Coturnix japonica: one gene and its partner. The protein of the gene in region 1 purifies or fractionates together with the protein of each later gene. This does not show direct contact. Links are inferred from orthologs where the notes say so. Each region holds a gene or a part of one and is shown on either strand. Other genes may lie near its edges.

What was found.
Region 2: the proteins of TNKS2 (region 1) and RNF146 purify together in Homo sapiens (co-immunoprecipitation; 3 studies listed by BioGRID and IntAct, with this or other methods). This does not show direct contact. The link is inferred for Coturnix japonica from reciprocal best matches to the Homo sapiens genes TNKS2 and RNF146.

The regions. Positions count from the first base shown.
Region 1 is NC_029521.1:17,300,395-17,311,365, forward strand, and holds the start of TNKS2 (poly [ADP-ribose] polymerase tankyrase-2), read left to right. Parts: upstream 1-1,064; 5' UTR 1,065-1,275; coding exon 1,276-1,477; intron 1,478-6,311; coding exon 6,312-6,536; intron 6,537-7,207; coding exon 7,208-7,303; intron 7,304-7,637; coding exon 7,638-7,674; intron 7,675-7,988; coding exon 7,989-8,064; intron 8,065-8,514; coding exon 8,515-8,609; intron 8,610-9,755; coding exon 9,756-9,822; intron 9,823-10,971. UniProt on the Homo sapiens protein: Poly-ADP-ribosyltransferase involved in various processes such as Wnt signaling pathway, telomere length and vesicle trafficking.
Region 2 is NC_029518.1:53,752,776-53,764,241, reverse strand, and holds the start of RNF146 (E3 ubiquitin-protein ligase RNF146), read left to right. Parts: upstream 1-4,241; 5' UTR 4,242-4,362; intron 4,363-4,443; exon of another isoform or gene 4,444-4,771; intron 4,772-11,466. UniProt on the Homo sapiens protein: E3 ubiquitin-protein ligase that specifically binds poly-ADP-ribosylated (PARsylated) proteins and mediates their ubiquitination and subsequent degradation. May regulate many important biological processes, such as cell survival and DNA damage response.

The DNA of each region.
Region 1 (10,971 bases):
CAGTTCTGTTGGCTGCGTGCCTATTTCTGGGTTAAATGACACAGCCAGGGGCACTGGACCTTGACCTGTTCCTGCAGCACAGTTGTGGCCTGGGCAGCTGGTACTCTCCCCATAAAAAATCCTAGGTGCAATTTAGACCTTAGCAGGGACAGGCAGTTTGGGCTTAGCTACCTTATTGCAGAGTGGAGTGGTGTTTAACAGAATGGAAGTGACTGAATGGCACAGATTAGCAGCTAGATCCCTTTCCTGGCTCTCGGGCAGTCTAATTTACTGCTGTAACAATAGCCTGCAAGTTCAGTGAGTTTGGAGGCATTTATCCTTCCTGCCTGTGGAACAGGAAGCTCCTGGCCCCTATCAACTACCTTTTCCAAAGTGTTTTTGAAAGATTATAGCACGAGTGGAAAAATACATTTCAAAATTACCAAATTAATCCTATTCTAGTTAGTCCCATCTAAGCTCAGACTTCCCCATCAGGCTTGTTAGGATTAAAAGAAAAAGATTCTCTCCATTCTTCTTCAAATCCTTGAACTGGCAGTCATAGAATCACAGTAATATAATATAATCATATAATTTAATCATATAATAGCTTGAATTGGAAATGACCTCAAAACCCTCGCAGCTCTAACCCCTGCTGTGGGCTGGGTCAGGGCCCCATCCAGCCCATTGCTGGGGCACACACAGCTCGCTGGGCAGCAGTGCCAGGGCCTCACTCCCTCCCTCTTTTTTTTCAGGATAAAGCAAACAGTTTAATTTCTATCATTCCCATTTCCTAAGTATGCAAACACGTATTTTTGAGTAACATGTTTTGATATGTAAATAACTACTTTAGGATTTTTTATTTTAATTGCATCAGGAAGTTCTTAGCACCAGAATGCTTAACGTTTCTGGGGAGGGGGAAAAAAAAAGTCCTTTATTAGCACATCCTAATGGATAATTCATTAAGTAGCACGGGATCGCTTCTACAGCTGTGGAACCACAGACCACCCTCATCCCGCAGCAGCAGCCCGGCCCCGCGGCTCCGCTCCGCCTCCCGACCCCACGTGTGCCGCATGCGCGCCGTGTCCGGCCGACCCCTTCCTGGCTGCATCGAGGCAGCTGCTGGCTGCGGTATCGCGGCCGTTCCGCCTGGATCCCTCCGCCGCGATGCGCCGGGCCCAGCGCCCTGCACAGCGCCCTGCACAGCGGAGCGAGTCCGGGGCTGCCGCCGCGCGGGGCCGCGGGCTGTGAGCGGGTCAGCGAGGGCCGCTCGGCCGGCTCCGTGGGGCTCGGCCCGGCATGGCGGCGCGGCGGTGCGCGGGCGGCGCGGCCGCCTTGGCCGAGGCTCCGGGCTGCGGCGCGGCGGTGGAGCCCGCCCGGGAGCTGTTCGAGGCCTGCAGGAACGGGGACGTGGAGCGGGTCAAGCGGCTGGTGCGGCCCGAGAACGTGAACAGCCGCGACACGGCGGGCAGGAAGTCCAGCCCGCTGCACTTCGCCGCAGGTACGGCCTACGGCCGCGCTGCCGAGTCTGCGGCGCCGGGGGAGGGCCGAGGGTGGCCGGGCCGCGCATCGCCGCCTCCCCGAAGCGCCGAGCACGTTCGGGCCGGGCGGTGGGGCGGCCTAAGGCCGTAGTCGCTGCTGTGGGGGCGAGGCCTTGTCCCCGCTGTCCGGCTGCCGGGCTCGGTGGGGCCGGAGGCCTCTCGCGTTTCACGAGTAAATGAAACGGCCCGGCCGTGGGGCTGCAGCACCGAGTGATGGCTCTGCAGCACCGAGTGATGGCTCTGCAGCACCGAGTGATGGCTCTGCAGCGGCCTGTGGGCTCGGTCAGCTCCGAGTGTCCCCGTAGTGCTCCTAGTCCCTCTGCAGCCCAGCTCGCTGAGCCTTTCTCCCACGGATGGTGCCCGACCGACAGCACGGTTCCGAAGTTGTTTTTTTTTTTTGCATTTGTGTCGTTAACAAATAGACTTTGTTAATTTGGCACTTAGGCAAATAGCTGACATCACAGAACAACTGCTGTCTCTGGTGGCTGGCCGGAAGACTGTATACCACCTTTTCAGACAAAGACACGATTGTGGCTGTTGTTTTCGTGTTGTTTCTCTGGTTGGATTGCAGCCTTAGCGGCAGGGCCCTGGGGTAGGCAAGGGGCAGCAGCTTTCAGCTAGAAAGTGCGTATAACTAATAACGAAGTTTGTTCCCCCAGTGAATTATTTTAGAAGAGGTTTCTAATTAATATGTCATTTTCTCTCATTCAGTAGCTTTAATGGATTTGAGTTCCTGAGAGCTACTTTTTCAGGACAGCTGTGATTTGCAGATTTAGGAAACTCGATCAGCAGGAAAGCCCAGGGGACAACATAAAGCATCCTGTCAGAGGAAGGGAGTTTTGCAGCTATTTTTTCATAAACCCCAGCCCTGCCTCATAGCTCATAAACTTCTAAATAAATGAGACTGTTTAACAGCATTTTGTAGATGTGGGTTGTTAGGTTGCTTGTTGGTTGGTTTTTATTGCTTATTTTTGTTTTGTGCCTGAGGGCATAGGCAGTGACCTAGTTTGCCTCTCTGGACAGGGCTGATCTGTCTTGGCTTTATAAACCAGAACTTCTAACTTACTGAAAACTTCTTTTTTTTTCATTAAATAGGCAAAGAAAGGCAAAAGTGTGAGTAAGTGCTTTTGTCCTTGCTTCTATCCCTTTCAATCTGAATGCAGAGAATTTAAATGTGTTTCTCATAGGACTGTAGGATGTACAAAAAGTTTCTGGCTAAGGCAGGATGTAAAATGCACGTGTAATGTCTTGATGCAATGCGCTTCCACTGCTTCAGATGGGCTGACAGCAAAAAGGGCTCTACCTGCAGTAGGCTCAGCTTGCAAGTTGGCCATAAGCAGCTCCTTGGGTTGGAGGTTAGGAATATTTTTGTTTGTTTTGCTTTTTCCATGTTATTTTCAGTTTGAGTAATACCAGCTTCTTTTGTCTCTGTTGCCTGAAGGAATTACATTCCAGGAAGCAAAAGCAAAAGTCTTGTATTCTGGCTTTGTTTAGCCCAGGTTCATGTTCTTAGAAAAAATGTTACAAAACTTCTCTGACTAGTTTCATTCACTTACGAGGCTTTGTTTTGTGAAGAGGTGGCGCTGAAACATGAAGATCGTTTTTGTGTTGCCATTTTTCTCTTTCAGGGACACTCTGGGTCCTGAACCCGGTTCCTTTTTCTTTTCCTTTAAATATCAATGTAACAGAAAAAGGAAACAAACTAACGCAAATGCTCTTTTTTTTTTTTTTTTTTTTCTTTTCTCTCTGTGTCCTGAGTAGTAGCTCTGCTGCTTTGCAGTAAGAAATGAAGTGTGCTGGTGGGACCAGCTATCTTGCATTGCTTTGAGCTGCAATAATATTTAGTTGGTCTTCTGATGGAAACTTGAGAGCTAAAAAGAAAAGCTTTAGAATAGATGAATATTGAAGCCATTCTTGCAGCAGTGGGCTACTAGCAAAGGGGGAGTCACTGCGGAGTGTGTGCCAGTAAGGGCTGTGTTCCTTGAGCATGCAATAGGAATAAGAAAGGTGATTGCACAGAGCCTGACCCCCTCCTCTGCACACGTACTCCCATAGGAAATGCTTCAGTATGCTGTGCCTTCTGGTAGGGATGCTCCCACAAGGCTGTGGGGAGCCCCTGCAGCACACTTTGTGCTGAAACCAAGTTCCAGAAGCTGGTCTGATGCAGATGATCCTCTGTCTCCACTCTACCATAACGGTGGGTGGTTTGGGGGTGTTGTTATCCCCCCAGTAGGGGCGTATTTCCCAGCTGGGCTGGCTTTGCCCTGAGAGAAGCTGATGTAGGAACTGTGTTTGATTGAACCCACATACTGACTGGAGGGCCACAGAGTGAATTCTCTACACCTATAGTGAGGCTTGCCACAGCTCACTAGCTGTACTGGTATGGATTGACGCTCACATTGGTTTTCTGTGTTCAGAACTGTGAGCACACGGCAAAGTTTTGATGGACAGTGATGCCTTCTATGCAAGAATGAGTGATGTTTATCCATCAGATCCATAACTGAGGCAGAAAGCTGGATCAGAGGCTTTTCTAACACAACTGGTAAAGTAGTTTCTGGAAAACATTTTATGGTACCAAAAGCAGATGCCAAGCAGTCTGCTGTCAAATAGCAGCAGGTTTGATATGTTCACAGGACTGAGGGACTCATGAAAAGTCTCGTTTGAACAGATCCTGTAAGAATTTAGCAAGTCGTGGTTATGCATTCACCCTAGAAGCAGAATTTCTGCAAGTTTTAGAGATGCAAGAAAAAATAAGTGGAAGAATGTGAAATATGCAGGATATGATGTAATATGTAGACAGCGTGGCTCTTCAGGTATATGTTGTACAGGAACTGATTTTTGACATATAGTTCTATAGAGATTGCTCTCGCAAAGGTGCTAGCAAACTAAGGTTTGAATAAACATGTTTGTCCAGGTGGGTATCGAGTATATGCAGGGAAGGAGCATCCACTACTTCTCTGGGCAGCCTGTTGCAGTGCTCTGTCACCCTCACAGTAAGGAGGTTTTTCCTCATGTTCATGCAGAACTTCCTGTGTTCCAATTTGTGCCCATTGCTCCTTGTCACTGGGCACTGCTGGGAAGAGCCCAGCCCCCATTGACTCAACTCCTGCCCTTATGTAATTGTAAGTGTTGATAAGATCTCTGAGTCTTCTCTTGTCCAGGGTGAAGAGCCTCAGGTCTCTCTGCTTTCCTCATGGGGCTCCAGGCTTCTGTTTACTGTCTGTCTGGGAGAAAGAGACACTGAAGTCAGGTTTAGTGAGGAACGTGGTATGAGAAACTTCAGTTGTGATGAAACGAAAACTGAAAAGTTTTGTTGTGAATAAAATGCTGGCGCATCTCGTGCTTCTGCAGTTCTGTCACTGGAACGCTGTGCAGTTGTCAGGAAAAAATACCATTTTAGGTTCAGATTGCCTTGACTCCTGGCTGCCTGCTGAGGCCAGGCAGGTTGGGTTGTAACAAAGATTAAAACCTGCTGGCTCTGAGTGCGCTGCTGTTTGCAATCACACAGTGATCTGGGCTGAGGGAAAGGCTCCCATGTGGAGGCTTCATCCCACACAATTCTCAGTTTTCCCTTGAAAATGGTTTGCACCACGGGTGTTTAACGGAAGGCCAAGCCCTGTGCATAAGGGGTCATTACCGAGCAGGTGCTTGGTACACATACACAAACATACAGCTCTCACCTTTCCTAATAACTGAGATTCAGATGGGTCTTCATGAAGCCTTTGAGGGAATTTTATAGGCTGTGTCCCTTAGTGTGTCTCTGTGTAGGCACAGAAGCAGCAGTCCTCAGTCACTGTGTCCTCATGCAAAAGTCCTAGAGAAAGCATGGACACAATTGGCAGTAGTTTGAGATACTGGTGTTTGTGCCATTACATAAATGTGCAAGATACAGCTGAAGTTAAACAGTAGAAGCTGTAGAATTAGCTTTAAAGAGCCCATCACTTTACTTCTGATGCATTGCTAACCACAGATGGGCACAGGTTTTTGTTGTACACTAACATGAATGACGTGAATGTAAAGTTTCCTTTGAAGGTGTAAGAGCATTTCTGTGCTTCAGACTAAGTTCTTACAGTCACGCAGGGAATCACTGAAAGTAGACTTTCTGGCTATCTTTGAATTATGGCTGTGCATGCTCATCATAAATGCTCTCAGATAAATGTTTTACGTTCCAAAGGTTTTTCTTAAGAGAGAGCTTCAAGGATGTCACAGTGTGCTCATTGTGCTAATGAACCCTTAGAGAGCAGACAGCCATACTTCTTGTTTTAACCTGAGAGTAACGCTGCTTGTTTTAACAATCAAGTTATATGAAATAATTTTCATACTATGCTATATGATTTGTTTATTTTTACTTAATATAACTTGTGCATGCCCTGGTTTATAGTCGCTCACCACTCCTGCTCCCTGAGCTCATCTGTTGGTCCTCCTGTAGCAGAGTATCATGCAAGATAGTGTTAGTTTAATGGCCACATAAAATGACTGAAAAAGAGGATTTGTTGTTGGTAGTCTGTCCTTTTGTTATGTGTTCAAGAAGCTGTTGATCGTGGGAGCCCTACCAAGATATTCATTGTTTTAGTGATCTTGAATATTACTTTCCTACTGATTTTAATATAATAATTGTGGGTATTTTTGAAAATAACCTTCCTTTAGTAAGGAACACCAGCTGAGATTTTTATTCTGACTGATTGCTGTCATTTAAATGTCTTGTTCCAGTATGAGTATGAGGGTCAGATATTTGTCTTCCCCTACACCTTTCTTTCATCCCCTGCACATGAGACAAAGCTGTTTCTCTTCCAGGTTTTGGTCGGAAGGATGTAGTCGAATACTTACTGCAGAGCGGTGCCAATGTCCACGCACGAGATGATGGAGGCCTTATCCCACTTCACAATGCTTGCTCTTTTGGTCATGCCGAAGTTGTCAATCTCCTCCTGCGGCACGGTGCAGATCCTAATGCTCGCGACAATTGGAATTACACTCCCCTTCATGAAGCAGCCATTAAGGGCAAGACAGATGTCTGCATTGGTAATTTTCTTGCACTTCTACTGTGACTAGTCATAGTGCACTAGAAATAACAAAACTTTCTAATAATAAATTATTTCTGTGTTTTCATGGCAGTCATGTTAAATTAGCTGAGGATATAAAGTAAGTTTTAGTAAGTTGAGCATGTCAATATAGTTACATATATTGACTATGCAATTCTTAAGAGAGAGGAGGGGCTAAGAGAGGTTGAGGTTTGGCTATAGGTGGCTTCCTCCACTTTATTCAAGAGCACATCTGGAGAGCAGTAAATATAAACATGGCCAGTTTGGCCCCGGTATCAGTGCAAGGTCTGTGAAGATACATGGCTTGCTACCACTGTGTACCATTTAGAGGACAGTCAGCTGTAGTTTTGAGGCAGTGTGCTCTGGACCAGTTGAGAAGGAGCCGCTGGTTTTAGGGCATATGTCAGTCTCAGGTTTTCACTGCAATTGCTGCCTGCTTGTTTCTGATTGTTCCACTTCTGTTTGGTTTTGTTTTTTTTTCCTCATGTGTTTCACTAGATCACAGGTGCCATTCAGGAATTCTGACATCAAAAGATTGAAAGGGGAAGTTGGGAACAGTAATAGCTTTTTGTTGTTGCTTGCTGCTTACATTGTCTCATAAGTCTTGTCTTGTCCAATTGTTTTCTCATGAAATACTCTTGCGTTTTGAAGTATTGCTGCAGCATGGTGCTGAACCGACCATCCGGAACACAGATGGAAGAACAGCTTTGGATTTAGCAGATCCATCTGCAAAAGCAGTGCTGACTGGTATGTGATGATCTTTAGATTACATTAGCTAATAACACTCCTATTATTGTAATACAGCATTTGTGTGGTGTTTTTTTTTTCCCCCTCAGTTACTTTAACTCATTTCTGTTTTAGAATTCAAGGTAGAAATTCACTGTATGGCTTTATTGTGTCATTGACAGGATGTGTTTTGGATAAATACTTTGTTATAACAGTTTGAAAATAACTTGTCAAATTTTTAGTGCTTAGCTCCCTGCAGCTTTGAAAGAGGATGATAAATTGCAAGCTTTAACTCATGAACTTAAATATATGCATATTTATTTAATAACTTTAGAAACTCTCTTTTATCTTCCAGGTGAATACAAGAAAGATGAGCTCTTAGAAAGTGCCAGGTATGCGTTTTTAAGAACACATCTGGAACTTAGCTACATTTTTAGAACTCTACAGGGGTTTTCTGTGTAATGAAAATATACATCCGTGGGCTGACATTCCATCTAGGTAGTAAGCTTTGGCTGTTTCTGTAAATAAAACAACAAAATATAACTACATAAACACTTTTTTGTTTGCTTTGACTTTAGTGTTGAAATAAATGAATAAACAAACATATAACTTCAGAACAGATTTCCAGAACGTCATAGCAAGGGAAAGTATGAGACCATAAGCCGCTAATAGAAGAGTTCTGCCTATTTCATATCTTATTTTACAGGAGTGGAAATGAAGAAAAGATGATGTCTCTTCTTACACCATTGAATGTTAACTGTCATGCAAGTGACGGCAGAAAGGTATTTTTCTTTAAAAATCCAATTTAAACTCTTTGTTGTTTGTCATAAGCTATTTATAATTTAGCAGTCATAGCTTGTGCTGGCTGTCTTGGTTCCCCTTTTGCAAGCAGCTTGTTTGTCCTGGCAAAGTTATTAGAGATATGGCAGTCTAAAATACAGAAATGAATTGCAGAACTCAAAAAATCTGTCAAGAGGTCCTTCATCCCAGAACTTATTAGAAATAAAGCAGATTCAGGATTTGTGTTAATTATGTCTGTAAAAGTAGCCAGTAAGAGATAAATTTAGTTATTGTGCATCTGATTCAAACTCTCTGGGTTTTGTTTAGTGTTACAGGTGTTTTGAGTACTTCAGTAATTAGTTCTGTTAACAAGTTTTTTGGGGGGGAAAAAAAAGAATAAGGCTAAATGCTGGTTTTGTGTTGCTGATTTCTGCTATGTTCTGTCATTTCAGTCCACTCCTCTACATTTAGCAGCTGGGTACAACCGTGTAAAAATAGTACAGCTGTTACTGCAACATGGTGCTGATGTGCACGCTAAGGATAAGGGGTAGGTTCATTTTTCTTTTGTTCAGAAGAAATGGAAAATGTTCAAAGTTGAGGTGAGGGATAGTAAGACTGTTTTAATTATTAAGATTTTCTGAGCTGAGACAACAAATCTTTCTGTCATGACAAAAATACTATGCAGACAGTCTTAAATATTGTGAAGCAGAAGAATCCAGAACTTACCATAAAATACGTCGCCTTTCAGGTATCGCTAGCCAACTTGTTTTTGTTTAAGAAAGTACTTCAGTAAGTCTCTGGGGAGTCAGTAAATATAGTAATGGCCTAGTCTTAATTTTATTTCTACTTGTAAGTTTCTCGACTTTTTTGGAAAGTGATGAAAAATTGAAGATCTGTTCTTCAGAGTTATCTGAGGACCATGTGTTTAAGCATTTGGTTGTTATATCAGAACATGTACTGAAATATGAATGTGCTGAGTTTTTTTATGGTTGCATAGAATATTTTTAAAATATGCTTTTCATTATATGTATACTTTCTATATTAAAGATTATGGAAAGCAAACCCTTGTCCATCCTTTTATCACTGCTATGTAGATAGCTGTCTGATCAGGCAACTTTGTCCATTCAGTGTTGAAATCCACTTTTGTCATTTCTCCCTTACTAGCCCACAGCTCAAGAGCATGCTTCAGATAATTTCTCACTGGCTCCTAAGACCATTCAGCTTGGTAGAATATGAAACAGGCTATAGAACTAGCTCTGCTGTTACTGTGGAATAATGTACAGTTACTTAAATAGTACCAGTAAAACTCCTCTGGTATCCAAGGGAGAAGATAATTTTATACCAATGTTCTTGTGAAAAAGGAAGTAATGACTGTCATCCTAGACAGTTATTGCTTTTACTTCTTCCTGATTAAGGTTCCAAGTCTTAGAGAAGCACTTCAATTACATTAAGACAGTGCTATTCATTTCTCACCTTCTTGTTAACTTATATGTTTGTTGTTCTGAAAAAAGCTGATCAGTTTATATGGGCTCCAGCTTCTCATTTCCCCTCATTTTCATTTGAACAGCTCAGATACTGATGTTGGTTGTTGTTTTGTTGGTTTTTTTTAATGTTTAAGGTGCAGCTTAGTATTATAAGCAATTTTTTAGATTTTAGGAGCACTAACATAATTTCTCTCTTCTCTCTTGTGTAGAGATCTGGTGCCGCTTCACAATGCCTGTTCCTATGGTCATTATGAAGTAACAGAGCTTCTAGTAAAGGTTAGTCTTTGAAGAAAATAAATTAGATTGGATAATATTAATTAACCACAGTTTAGACTAATAGACTGATTACATTTGCAAATTTTTCGTTCTTTTTAGAAACTTAAAAGTTGATAGATTGTACTTGCTGTATGTTAGCTATCGAGTTGAAGTTGCAGAATTTTCTGCTTGCAAGGAAGCTTTCCTCTCATAAATGTGCTTTCTGTTTTTAACTCTTGTTTTAGAAGCTAAATGGTTTTATACCATCAAGTAAGTACTGCTGCTCTCAATTGAATATTACAGCATAAATTGTGGCCCAGAATCATAGCCTGCACCCCAGAGAAAAAGTATGTGAACTTTTAAAATGTTAACTGAATTGCCTTATTTGAATTGTGTTAATCTTGAAGATAACATATGATACACGTTAAACCAAGGGCTTCAATATGTTCCCTGCAAGAGTCTGTGCCACAGTAGGACTTCTGAACTATGTTCATTCTCATCTGTCACAGTAAATAATGAACATTAAAGCAGCTGAGTGGGTGCTGTTAGATGCTGCTCAGGTTTTCTACCTGGTGATCTCAGTCTCCACCAATCTCAGGTTTAGAAGAAAATAAGTTTAAAATTATTGAAAGAATCATATATTGTAGTAAATATAAACAGACAATTTTTATTGTTTGTTTCTACTTCACAGGCCAGTCGTAAAGTGAATCTTTACTTATGGTACTAGACAAAAGATGTGCTTAGCCACTCATTGAGTCTTAACTGCCAAGCTGCAATTGTATTTCCTGTTGGGTATCTGGTCCAATGAACTGTTTTCTGTGAGCACTACAGTGTTAACAGGAGCAGTAGGAATGAGGATGTCCAATCAGACCTCCTTATGGTTAGAACTGAAGTTGTCTGGAGAAGAATTTCATAGATGTTAAAGTCCAAGAATATTACTTATAGAACTTTGTAGTTAATGTTTTGAATCGAGATTGACTTTGCTTCTTTCTTTTTGGACATCTTGGCTGTCATTACTTGGGGGCATTTACAGAAAGTATATTGATGTTAGTGCAGCTGTTCACTGTAGACTTTTTCTAGAGCAACAAGAAATAGGAGCTTGTCCAGAAGTGACTTGATGTAGTTGAATTAGGCTCTTTATCTGATTTGTCCTGTAGATGAGCTGTTTGA
Region 2 (11,466 bases), on another chromosome or scaffold:
ACAAAAAAATGCCATAAAGGAAATCCAAGCAGTTACAAGCTCAAGCATACACGGTAAAGTATAAATGTAAGTAACCACAACTGAGAAACAACTGCTTTCCTCAGAGCATTCCCTGATGACGCTTTGGAGCCTGGAGAGGACGATGACGTCAGCAGAATGCTACCATTTTATTCTTTCCATCTTCAAAGGATTTTAACTAACAAACCCAAATGAGGCCCCCATGAGACAGGTAAATGTTAAAATCCATCTCACAGAAAGCTAAATTTACTTATGATTTGGGAAAGCTCATGCCAGAGCAGAGATTAGAAAGCTGTACCCTCTGAAGTCTGGGTCCCAAAGGCACAGTAATGTTTTTGTGAACTTTTCCTCTCAGCATTCTGCTTTTTGCTTACCATCTTCCTTTGGGTCCAGAGAGCAGTATGGTATTGTTGCAGCTAATTTTTGTCGTTCTTTGAAACCCACAAAACTGACTCACACTCAATCAGTACAATTAGGACCACTAGAACTAACATGATGAGCAGGAAGTGGCCGACATTAAGGCACTAAGCAGACAGCGAGAAAGGGCATTGCACTCTGGGCTGCAGAAAATGCATTCCTTCACTTGAGATTGCAAATCATTTATCTTCTGCTGAAGTACCTCTTCCTGATAAATGGTGGTAGTGGAGGAGCCTGATCATTATATTTTTAAAGTAGTTTGTCAGAGAATTCAACCAGCATGTCGTTTTGTCCTTCTTTTCCACTGGGGGAGATCGACACAATGTTTAGAAATACTCGATTGCTTTCAGATCATTTCTTGTCCTCTTTTGTAGGAAGAAGAGGACATAGAAACCTTTGTATATGACCTGGACCAGTGTAAGGGGATTGCAAGGCAGCAGCAGTGAAGCACACAGATATCCACTGGGCAATCTATCCTGCTGGATTGAGTGAGGCTACTTACAAGCATAAATGAAAGGTTGGTGTAAGTACTGTGTTGGAGCTGTGTGGTTATCAGAATGATGAGCCTTTAACTCTATTCTTTTTTAATATTAAAATAGTGTTTTTGCAAGCTATACTAACCATCCCGTAAGCACTATGGATGCCTCAAATCCTCAATGAGATCCTGTCGGCTCAGAGTTCATGCCACTAAGAAACACACTTTTCTGCTCTACACTGTTATACTCTCCGAGAACACTATAAAACAAATGTGAAAGCTGGTGATATTTCATAGTTTCCATCTGCAACATCAGCCTTAATTTAACAGTCCCATCTTGAGTGTCTCACAGAGGTAATAATGACAAAAATGGCACAACGGTTAATGTGGTGGCATTATTTTAAGCACTGATTGACATTCATTTCCTTCTCATATTTTATCATAACAACTCTGTCTTCTTTTCCTTCTTTGTGGAGAAAAGACTAGTGAAGTCATAAAAAGAAGCTCCTTCTTACAGCCACTGTTTGGTACAAGTTTTAGTTCTTGTCAGGAATAGTTTTGCACACATTTAGTCTGCAGTCCAGGAATCTGCTCAGTACATTAGCTGGACTGGGAGAGAAATACCTCTATTCAACCAACACAGTTTGAAGAACACAGTTTCCCCACAGTTACCATATACCACCTAGTGATACAAAAGGAAACTGCAATTTCCATTTCATTAAATGAAAGATGATGATCACTGCAGCACATTTGTGATATTTTGCTTTCTTTCCATTAAAATAAAATGTAGGCATAATAGCTCTAGCTCTAATAGTTTTTCATCGAAGGTCTTGTGACTCCAGCTAGTTTACAAGAAGATGTAATTTCTGAAAATTTCTCAGCCTCTCCTCATAAGAACAATGCTCCAGGCCCCTCATCATCTTTGTAGCCCTCTCCTGGACTCCCTCTAGGAGATCCCTGTCCTTCTTGAAACAGGGGGCCCAAAACTGGACACAGTTCTTCAGATGTGGCCTCACCAGGGCAGAGCAGAATGAGAGGATCACCTCTGACAACCTGCTGGCCACACCCTTTTTAATGCACTCTGTAAAACACTGGCCTTCACGGCCACAAGGATGCACTACTTGCTCATGGCCAACCTGTTGTCCATAAGGACACCCAAGTTTTTCTCTGCAGAGCTCTTTTCCAGCAGGCCAGCCCTTAACCTGTGTTGATGTATGTGGTTATTCCTATGTGGTTATTCCTCCCCAGGTGTAGGACTGCACTTGCCCCTGTCGAACCCCATCAGGTTCCTCTCTGTCCAACTCTCCAGACTGTCCAGATCTCACTAAATGGCAGCACAGCCTTCTGGTGTGTCAGCGTCTCCTTCCTGCCACATATTGTCAAGAAACTTACTGATTTCTGTCAGGTCAGTGATGAAGATGTTGAAGTAAGTTTCAATTCTGGGAAACTGCAGTAAGGAAAATAAAGGATTTCAGTGCACTATATTACAAGGCAGTAGTTGTGGATTTTTGTTGTTTTTCTTCATTGTTTTTATTTCTCATTTATTTATTTATTTATTTATTTATTTATTTATTTCTTCAAAATGAAAACCAAAGTTGTAAGCCCAAGCCTAGGCTTTGGAGGGCTGCTGATCACCTTGCAGCCAGCCAGGCCTTGCACTTCACCATAACAACTGCACTTCTGGGGAGCTGATGCAGATGTATGTTTGTCTCAGTGACTGTCATTCTGGCCCACCATACTGCTGTGACAGTACTCACAGGACAATCTTGTGTCAAGTACTGTAGAAACAACATATTTAACTTTTAAAAAGGAAGATTTGAGATTTTCCATACCCCAGCCAGCCTTTGGTGATGGCAACAACATATCACTTTAATGAAAATGTTAGAGCCGCGTGGGGGGAGCTCTACAACAGCTGAGAGGATAGGAACACAGTGAGCTACAAGCAACAGGGTTTCATGGAACAAATGTGTCATCAAAACACTGTCAGGATATTTGCTTTTAATGTTTTCACTTTGGAACTCACTCCTCAGCCCCTCCTCTGGCTGCCCGCACAGAGGAACCAGGGGCACACTTGTCACTCTAGTGCCATATTGGTGGATTCACAACTTCTCATTCTGTTCAGAGGGGTGGCTGAAGTTGTAGGTGTGAGGAAAAGGGGAAACGATTCCATATCCTATCCCATTTATGCCCCACCCCTGGAGGTGCTCAAGGACAGGTTGGATGGGGCCATTGGACAGCCTGATCTGGTGGGTGGCAGCACTGCCCATGGCAGGGGGCTGTGATTGTGTGGGTTTTGAGGTCTCTTCCATCCCACGCCATTGTGTGATTCTGTGATTCACAAATCACCTACTCTTTTGCTTCTATTGTGACCTGGAGAAGCTTGGAGCTTCTCCAAAATCTATTTTGATACAGACTCAAGCCACAGCAGGAGACTGTTTTCTCCTATCTTCCCCCAGCTATGTCACAAGCAGGGGTTGAGCTCATAGTATACCTGCATGTCTCCAAGGGTTTACATAGTATCATACACATCTAAAGAAGCAGAAGAAAGGTCTTTATAAATAGAAGGACTGAAACATGATTAATAGCTCTCAGTTGCCAAAGCATCAGCAGAATATTAATAGTGGGGGTGCAGACTCTTGCCAGGGGAGGAGGTGTCTTCTCAGGACTAGTCTGGTGAATCTTTACTTTTCAAGCCGCTGTGCACATTAAAAATGTAGTGGCAAGTATCAGACATGAATTCCAGATTGACGACGCTGTAGGCAATGGTAACAAAGAGAAACAAAGGAGGGCACGGAGCTACGAAGGAAGCAGAGGCAGACAGAGTGGTGGTGCTTTCAGTTGCAATAGACAGGTACAGCTAATGCACGTTAAGGAAACCACTGCTGGACGTGGGGCGATGTGCTGCAGGAGCCAGCACAAAGATGCGAACACAACATGCATTTAGACTGAAATTAAAGCTGGCAATGAAGGCCGATGTTATTGCAGGTACCATTCTTCGGTTACCAGCTTCGGCACAACCTGATATTGCCTTTAACCATTTCTTCACCGAGCGTAAAATGAAACCATACGTTCACTACTGCATTTTCTCGGTCGAACTAAACTGTCAGACCCCGGAACACAGACGCGGGTTTATTTATTACTGAGAACACTTCATTCAGGGTGCTTTATTTTCCTGTAATCTCCGTTCGACGGAGACACCGAACCCCCAAAAGCGGATGGTGCGCTCCAGGCCCCGTCGCCATGGCGGCATCACGAGCGCGGGGTGTGGCGGCGCGGCACCATGGCGTCACCCGAGCGCGGCCCCCAGCGGCGGAGCCGGTTGTGGCTCCTCCCGATCCGCGGCGTCACGGTGGCGCGGCCTCCCCCGCTCTGCTCCGGCCGTGACGTCGGAGCGTCCCGCGGAGGCGGCGGCAGGTGGCGGCGGAGCGGCGCGAGCCGGCCCGGCCCGGCGGGTGAGTCCCGGCTTGGGTGGGCGGTCAGCGCTGACAGCGGCCGCCCCGGGATCGGGATCGGGGAGGGAGCCGAGGCCTGGCCGGGCGGTAGGCGCCGGCCCCAAACAAAAGGCCGGCGGGCGGAGCGGGCCTGCCGCGGCCCTGCGGCGGGCGAGGACCGGCGGGTGCCGCCCTCCTGTCCGCGCTGGAGCCCAAGTCCCGCGGCGTCGCTGTTCGCCATCGAGGGAGGAGGGAGGAGGCCGCGGCCCTGCGCGAAACACTGGGCCCGGCGGAGAGGGGAGGGCGGCGGGCCGGGTCTCGGCTGCTGTCCGCCCGCTGTCAGCGGCCGAGCCTCGCAGCCGGAGGGGGAGCGAGGGATGTCGGCGAGCACAACAGGAAGAGCGTGAGGAGCTGCGAGCGGTGCCGCCAGGTGCTTTTGTTTCCATGTGTCTGTGCTCGAGGTTTTTAATTGCATCCTTCGGGAGTGGTAAAGCGGGGCGGAAAAATAGGTCCTGCGCTTTGTGCTATATGTATTGTCACCGCTGACAAATGATTGCGAAATACTCGGTGAATACGAGGTTTTTCATGCTGTGGATGTCCGCTTTTTGCATGTGAAGAAACCCCAATTAAGGCGTCTTATTTCCGTCTTCGCATAACTTTTCTGCGACGTGAAGTAGAAATAGGGTAGAGCTTGTTGCTGGGAGCGCAGCGTGCAGGGGGTAATTAAAAGGGAGAATAGGGAGCGGAGCTCTAAAGTGTTCTGTCACATCGGTAGCGCTGAAGGTACAGCGCTGCGGCGTTGTTAGATGCTGCCTCTGGGCAGTGGGTTGCTTAAAAATAGGCCTTCAAGTGCCTCTGAAAACGCACAGCCAAAAGTGATCACTTGCGGTTGTACCGAAGGCACGGTAAAACCTGAATATTGATTTGGGTCACTTTGAGTAAATCTTAAATATTTTATGTTTGCGCAGAGTTGCTTTATAGCCCTGTGAGGTTTAACGCTGTGGCTTCTTTCCAAGCGAATCAAAGTACCGATTGTTTAAATGGCCGAGTGAAAGTTTTGTTCTTTTTGTTTCCTCTTAAATCCACCACATCCATGTAGATGTAATGGAATTGCCCAGAGAGATGAAGCTGCAGGACTTTTGAAGGCTGTCGAATAAGGTTTGGAAGGCTCTTGGTGTTGCTGGGGAAAAATCTTTCTTGGAATCGATGATTATTTTTTTTCCTCCTTCTGTGCATGTTAATTTATATGTCACAATGCTCCTGTACTTCATTTCTCTCTCAGAAGCAGCGATAGCTTCAGATGAGCCCATTTTTGCTTTGTTTTCCCACAGGAATTTTGTCAGTGCCCTCTTATTTGAGTGCGAAACTGAGGTTTTCCTCACTTAAGTCAAATGAAGTAGGACACGGGCTCCCAGTTATAGCACAGCAGAAGAAATTCAGTTTGAATAAATATGTAGCCATTCAGTATCAAAATGGTTGACTGTTCTGCACTTGACTGTTTTTCTGTAACTCGGACCCACACCAATATACAAGCTTCTTAAAATTAAAGTGTAGTAATGCTGTTTAAAGGAACGACAGGGAATTTGAAGCCTTATCACATCATTGATTTCTGAAAGTATTTTAAGAGAGAGAGAGGAGGCAGTGAGATTATTTACCTGCTGTGCTGTCCGATGCTTGCAGGCAGTTGCAAAAACACCAGACAGGTTCCATACCTTTAGCTAATACTGTACTTGTGACAGTAGGCCTCCAGATGGGAGATATATATATGCATATATATATATAATTATTATTTTTTCTCCCTTATGAAACAGAACACCACCAGCATAAAGCAACTACTACCATCCTTCCTTCCTTTACCAGCATTTGGCTCACGCTGTCCTATAGGGAAGAGTTCTGGGATCCTTTTTCCTCTGCTTCTACCTTCCCCCACCCTACTTCCTTAGTAACTGAGATATATGTTAGGGAGCCCGATGGTAACAGTCAAGTATTGAATCACAGAAGAACGTTTACCTTTGATCATTTCTTTTGTAGCGCTGCACCTGTTCAGTTTTCAGCCTCTGGCAGTCAACGAATGAGTTTGTGCTAACTGTTGTAAAGTGGTCTGTCTGGTGTTGCAGAACTTGTGCGATCACCTTTCATTTGAGGCAGGGTTTAAGTGATAGCCTTCAGCGAGTGAGAAGCTGGCTTTAGTTGAATTTACCAGTGGTGTTTTGTTTTCTTCTTTTCCTAAGAAGATAAACTTTTATTTACAAAAATTTCCTAGGGCCGTAAATAACAAACAGTGCACTTATATTTAGGATCTGGCTTCTTATGTTTCTGGAAATGTGTTTATTGTTGCTATTTTTCCTATCACTTGTGTCTCCAAAATAGTAGAAAAGTGAGAAAAATAATGCCCTGGCTATGATACGCTACTGGGAATTTGATAGGCAGCAGCTGACTGATCTGACAGGAGATGGTTTCACTTCATCTTGGCCAAGTGAAAGCTTGATGATTTTATCAAAGACCTCATGCCGTTTTTGGATGACGGGTGTCCTAGGAGGGACACTGCTTCAGCATCCTAACACGGTGTGGAAGAAGTTGGCACGAGGTTCCCTAGCAGGCGTCCTGACAGCCTGCCAAGGAAACAAGGGGTGGTTAACGCTGGCTGAGCCACAGTGTGGCACCAGTTGTTGCCCAGCTGGCGATGCCAAGTTTAAATTCCAATTCCCAGTGGGTCGGATTGTCCTTCATCTGTTGTGGGCTGAGTGTTTCAGAATCAGTGTGCAATAGTCCTCGTGGGCTTGGTGAGGAAGGGACACTCACAGGTTGCCACAGATAGCGTAATTCCTCATATGAGATGCTTTTCTAGCATAGGAAGTTAATTGCTAAGTGTAGAACATGGCTCTCAGCCACTTTACTTCAAAGGAGCAGGAGTCCAGGAAGGGGTGTGTGTGTGTGTAACCACAGATGTCTTTTATCCCGTTTAGTAAAATTTCTAGGACTGGCTTATTAAATAAATAACAATGTAATGAAGCACGGAGGTTACCTGAAGTCAGTATGTGAACTAGTTCTCTTTAATAGCTGTGCAGCAATTACAAAGTTGCTGTGCCATAATCCTATAATTATGCCCTAATTGGATTCTTCTAGGTATAATTACACACGTTAACTACACGCACACACTTTTTTTTCCCCAAGAATCTGTCAGAAATGACCCAACCTCCTTCTCCCATCTCCACATAACATTTGGTCTCACAATGCGCTACCTCTAATAGCGGATTGCAAGAGGTAATAGATAAAAGGCTTCAAGTGAAGCCCACAGATGTACCATAGAAAGCCAGCCCTAAGATGAAGGACTGAATGCCACATTCACAGCACTGAGCTTGTTGCAGCTGTCTCTTTGATCATAGCAAACGCCATATCTTGTCTGAGCGGATTAGTAGAGCCAGAATTTTAATGTGATTGCAGCTCTCCAGATTGATGTGCAAAGGAACGATGAGGGGAGAACCATCTTTCGAAAAGGTGCTAGGACAAGTGGATAGGCACGTTAATTTTTGCATTTTTTTCCTTAGGAACGGGCTCTAAAAATAGCTGCACTGAATGCCACGTGAAGCTCAGCTGTAAAGAAAATAATGTTTGAGTAATGTGTCTTAGAAGTCATCTGAACATTTCTTTCTGATGTTGCTAGTGATAAGCGTTCAGACGTTGGATAGACTGTGGCACAGAAGGCTGTAATACAAAGTGTTCCATGTTCTTTCAGGGAGTTGTTGCTCCTCCATTTCTTTGTAGTCTGTATGTTAGTCTGATATGTATTTATAAGCACTGTATTTATGCTGAAATGATCCTTTCCCTGAGCAAATATTATAAGGAAGGCCTTATTCAACAGACTGCTTGAATTGTGGAGAGTGCCTAGGGAAAGTCCCACGTTTACATGCACTGTTTTCTCCTCAAACAGCTGCCTGTTTAGAGACGAGATACAAGAGTAGATAGATGGTCCTTTGGGATAATGGGATATGAAGTGGTTTTTTGCTGCATATGGATTTGGGTAGCTGTTGTTACATTCTAAACTCCCAGAATGCAAGAAGTCGAATACTAGAGGCTAAATTTGCATTAACATAACGTATTCCTATCTTTGATCTCATTTCTCCTTCTGTGTACATAGTTACTTTGTGGAAATGAGGCATTGACTTAGTATAGCTAAAGATAATTGCCTTTTGTAATACTTTAGGAAAAGATAACTTGCATAAATTAAGGTGTCAAAATAATTGACGTCAAACTGTGGGCCAGAACTGATAATTGCAAAAAATAAGACAAAGCCTGATGATAACATTTCTGTACATTGAAAACAGCCCTTGTCAGGTAAATGATAGTAATTCCATTTCTCTAACAGGACCCTGGTGGTGTATTTTGCTTGCTCATACCTCTGTACAACACTGTTACAATGGTGATACTGTTTGCTTTGCAGTAGCACTCATTGAATCCGAAACACAGTAGTGTAGCATTGGGTAGGACAAGGCAGGAGTGAGCCAGCCTTTGGAAGGAGGACCTGCCATCCTAGCTGGAGGCATCTGAAGACAGGACATCTTAGTCCTGTGACGTGCTCCAGTAGAAATTACTGAGAAGAAGTAAGCTGCTGCTTTATGAAGGGACTTATATGTGCTAGCTCCTTGACAGACTGCCTGCTTGCAGTTAGAATTGGACCTGGAATCTGAAAAAATTACTCTGTTTTGGGGTGGCTTTATGGGAATTTACTTTTTCTTCTGACAGAGCCCCAGTAGGCCAGGGGAATTTTCATACAGCTCTTATACATTACCTGGTCCATAGCAGTGTACTTTGTGTGTTGCTGAAGGCACCCTAAGCTTACCCAGTGAAATATAGGTTTAAATATTAATTTAAAAGAAAAAGATATTAGAGGCAAGAGGAGAGGATGTGTGATCTGGCAAGACTGTAAACCAGCTTCTTCTCAGTTGGCTTTGGGCTGTATTTCTATTAAAATGCAATGTTAAATGCTTGTTGCTCCTTTTTTTTTTATACCTGAACTGCTTATCAAAATACTTCAAATCATTTTGTTTATAGAAAGTGTCAATTTAATTTCTATTAGACGTTTGATTTATTCGATAACGTAATTTTTCCTGTTACCCAAAATGTTACCCAAATTTCAAAATAGCAGAAGTTTAGCATTAGAAAACCATTTTAATATAAAGCCTTTTTTGGTTAAGTTTTGCTCTAAAGTACTGCTATTAATTTCAGGGAAAATAGTCTGTACTCGGTTGTATTTAGTTATTAATATCACAAACCTGGAAGAAATTGCTTCTACAGTCACAGCTTTACAGAATAGCAGCCCTAGATGTTTCTCCTCCTTTCTAAAGGGCTTCCTGTTCAATAGAAATGTACATATAAAGCTACTGTGAATTAGGTCTGTTACTTAAATAGGTTAACAATAAAGGATTAATTAGGATCTTTCTTTAGAAACAAAAAGGAGACAGCCTCAGTTTAGTTGATCTAAATCTTCAATTGCACAATTGTCCTGCATTCTGAGCACATGCAACTGCAGTTGTGCTTATCTCTTATTAAGAGTTTATGTTGCTGGGTAGTGCTTGGTTGGAGATAAAAGGTTATTCCTCTAGCTGTATTAATTTTACATACAGCGTTTTCTTCCAAGTCATTAAAAATCACTGAAGACTTTCAAGATAAGACATTTATCCTTTCTGTATGTTTATGTGCTGTGTTAAGGTTTAGATCTGTTAAAGAATCAGAGAACCCCCAGATTAATAGGTGACCAGTTGGACACAGTTCAGGTGCTACAGAATTGAGCTTGCAGTGAACAAGTGAGAACTCTCACTGCTTTGAGTTTAGTCTTGAGTTAACAGAATTTGATTAGTCAAAATGAGCTAATTTTTAATCCCAGCAGTTTGCTAATTCTTAATTATGATACATAGTTTGTATAGCGGTTATTAATCTTCTGGTTGTTTCTCTTTTAATTGAAGAGGATAAGCTTGTAAAATGTATTTAGGGGAAGGATGGCTTTTGTAAAACTGCAGCATGGAAACAAAAATCTCAGCTGCTGTGCCTTATTTCACAGCAGTATGTTATTATGGGAACATCTGAAAATTCATAGAATCACCAAGGTTGGAAAAGACCTAAAAGATCATCCAATCCAACTGTTCACCTATTACCAATAGCTCCCACTAAACCATGTCCCTCAATACAACATCCAATCATTCCTTGATTCAGGTCTTTATTCCTCTGCTCTGGTTGGCAGAAATTAATCAATACATGGATTTCTCTTTCAGCTCTTTTGTTGTGAGATACTGATCGAATCATTTCCACGGGTACTCTGAAATCTGAGTAGCTTCTCTTCCTTTTTCTAGTACGCTTCTCGTCATAATAAAGAACCAACTAGTTCTGGTGTAAAATTTTGTTCCTAAATGCAACCCGAAATGTGTGAGGGTGCCAGAAAGCAGCTTGTTCACAACACTGCTAGCATGGATCTTGCACATAGATTTGTTCTGTACACTAAAGACAATTACCAGGTGGTAGAGCCGTTTCTGCGACAGTCACACTGAGTGAAGAACTAGCACACGGATTAGGGTTTAATCTCAGGAAAAAATTAGATACAATTGCATCCATCTACGTTTCAGTTTTAATTGCTACTTCAGGAAAATATGAGCTGTAGAGCTTTTAAAAATAGATTAAAATAGCTGGATTAAGGAAAGACATTGGACTTTCGAAAGGAAATTACAGTGCTAGAAGGAAATAGTATAGAGAGAGACATTTTAAGTAGATAGCACTCGCATATGCTTCTGTATCTATATTTATAATAATGCATTAGTTTTTTAATAGCCTGGCATATATTTGCATAAAGCAGCAAGGCTTTTGCAGTTAACACTGGAGATTTTCTCCTGGGGTAGTTGTGTTTTGCTAGAAATACGTCTCACACTGGGACAGGCTGTTCAGACAGACTGTGATACAACTGTCCTCACACGTTACCAAAAACTAATCAACACAAAGCTGTGACTGATCAGATCTGGTACTGTTGGTTGGGTCATGTGGAGCAGGAGATGGGACTGCATCACCTCTAACGGTCCCTTCCAACCCCACCTTTCTGTGACTCCGATCATTTTGGTTTAACTATTCTCAGTACAACAA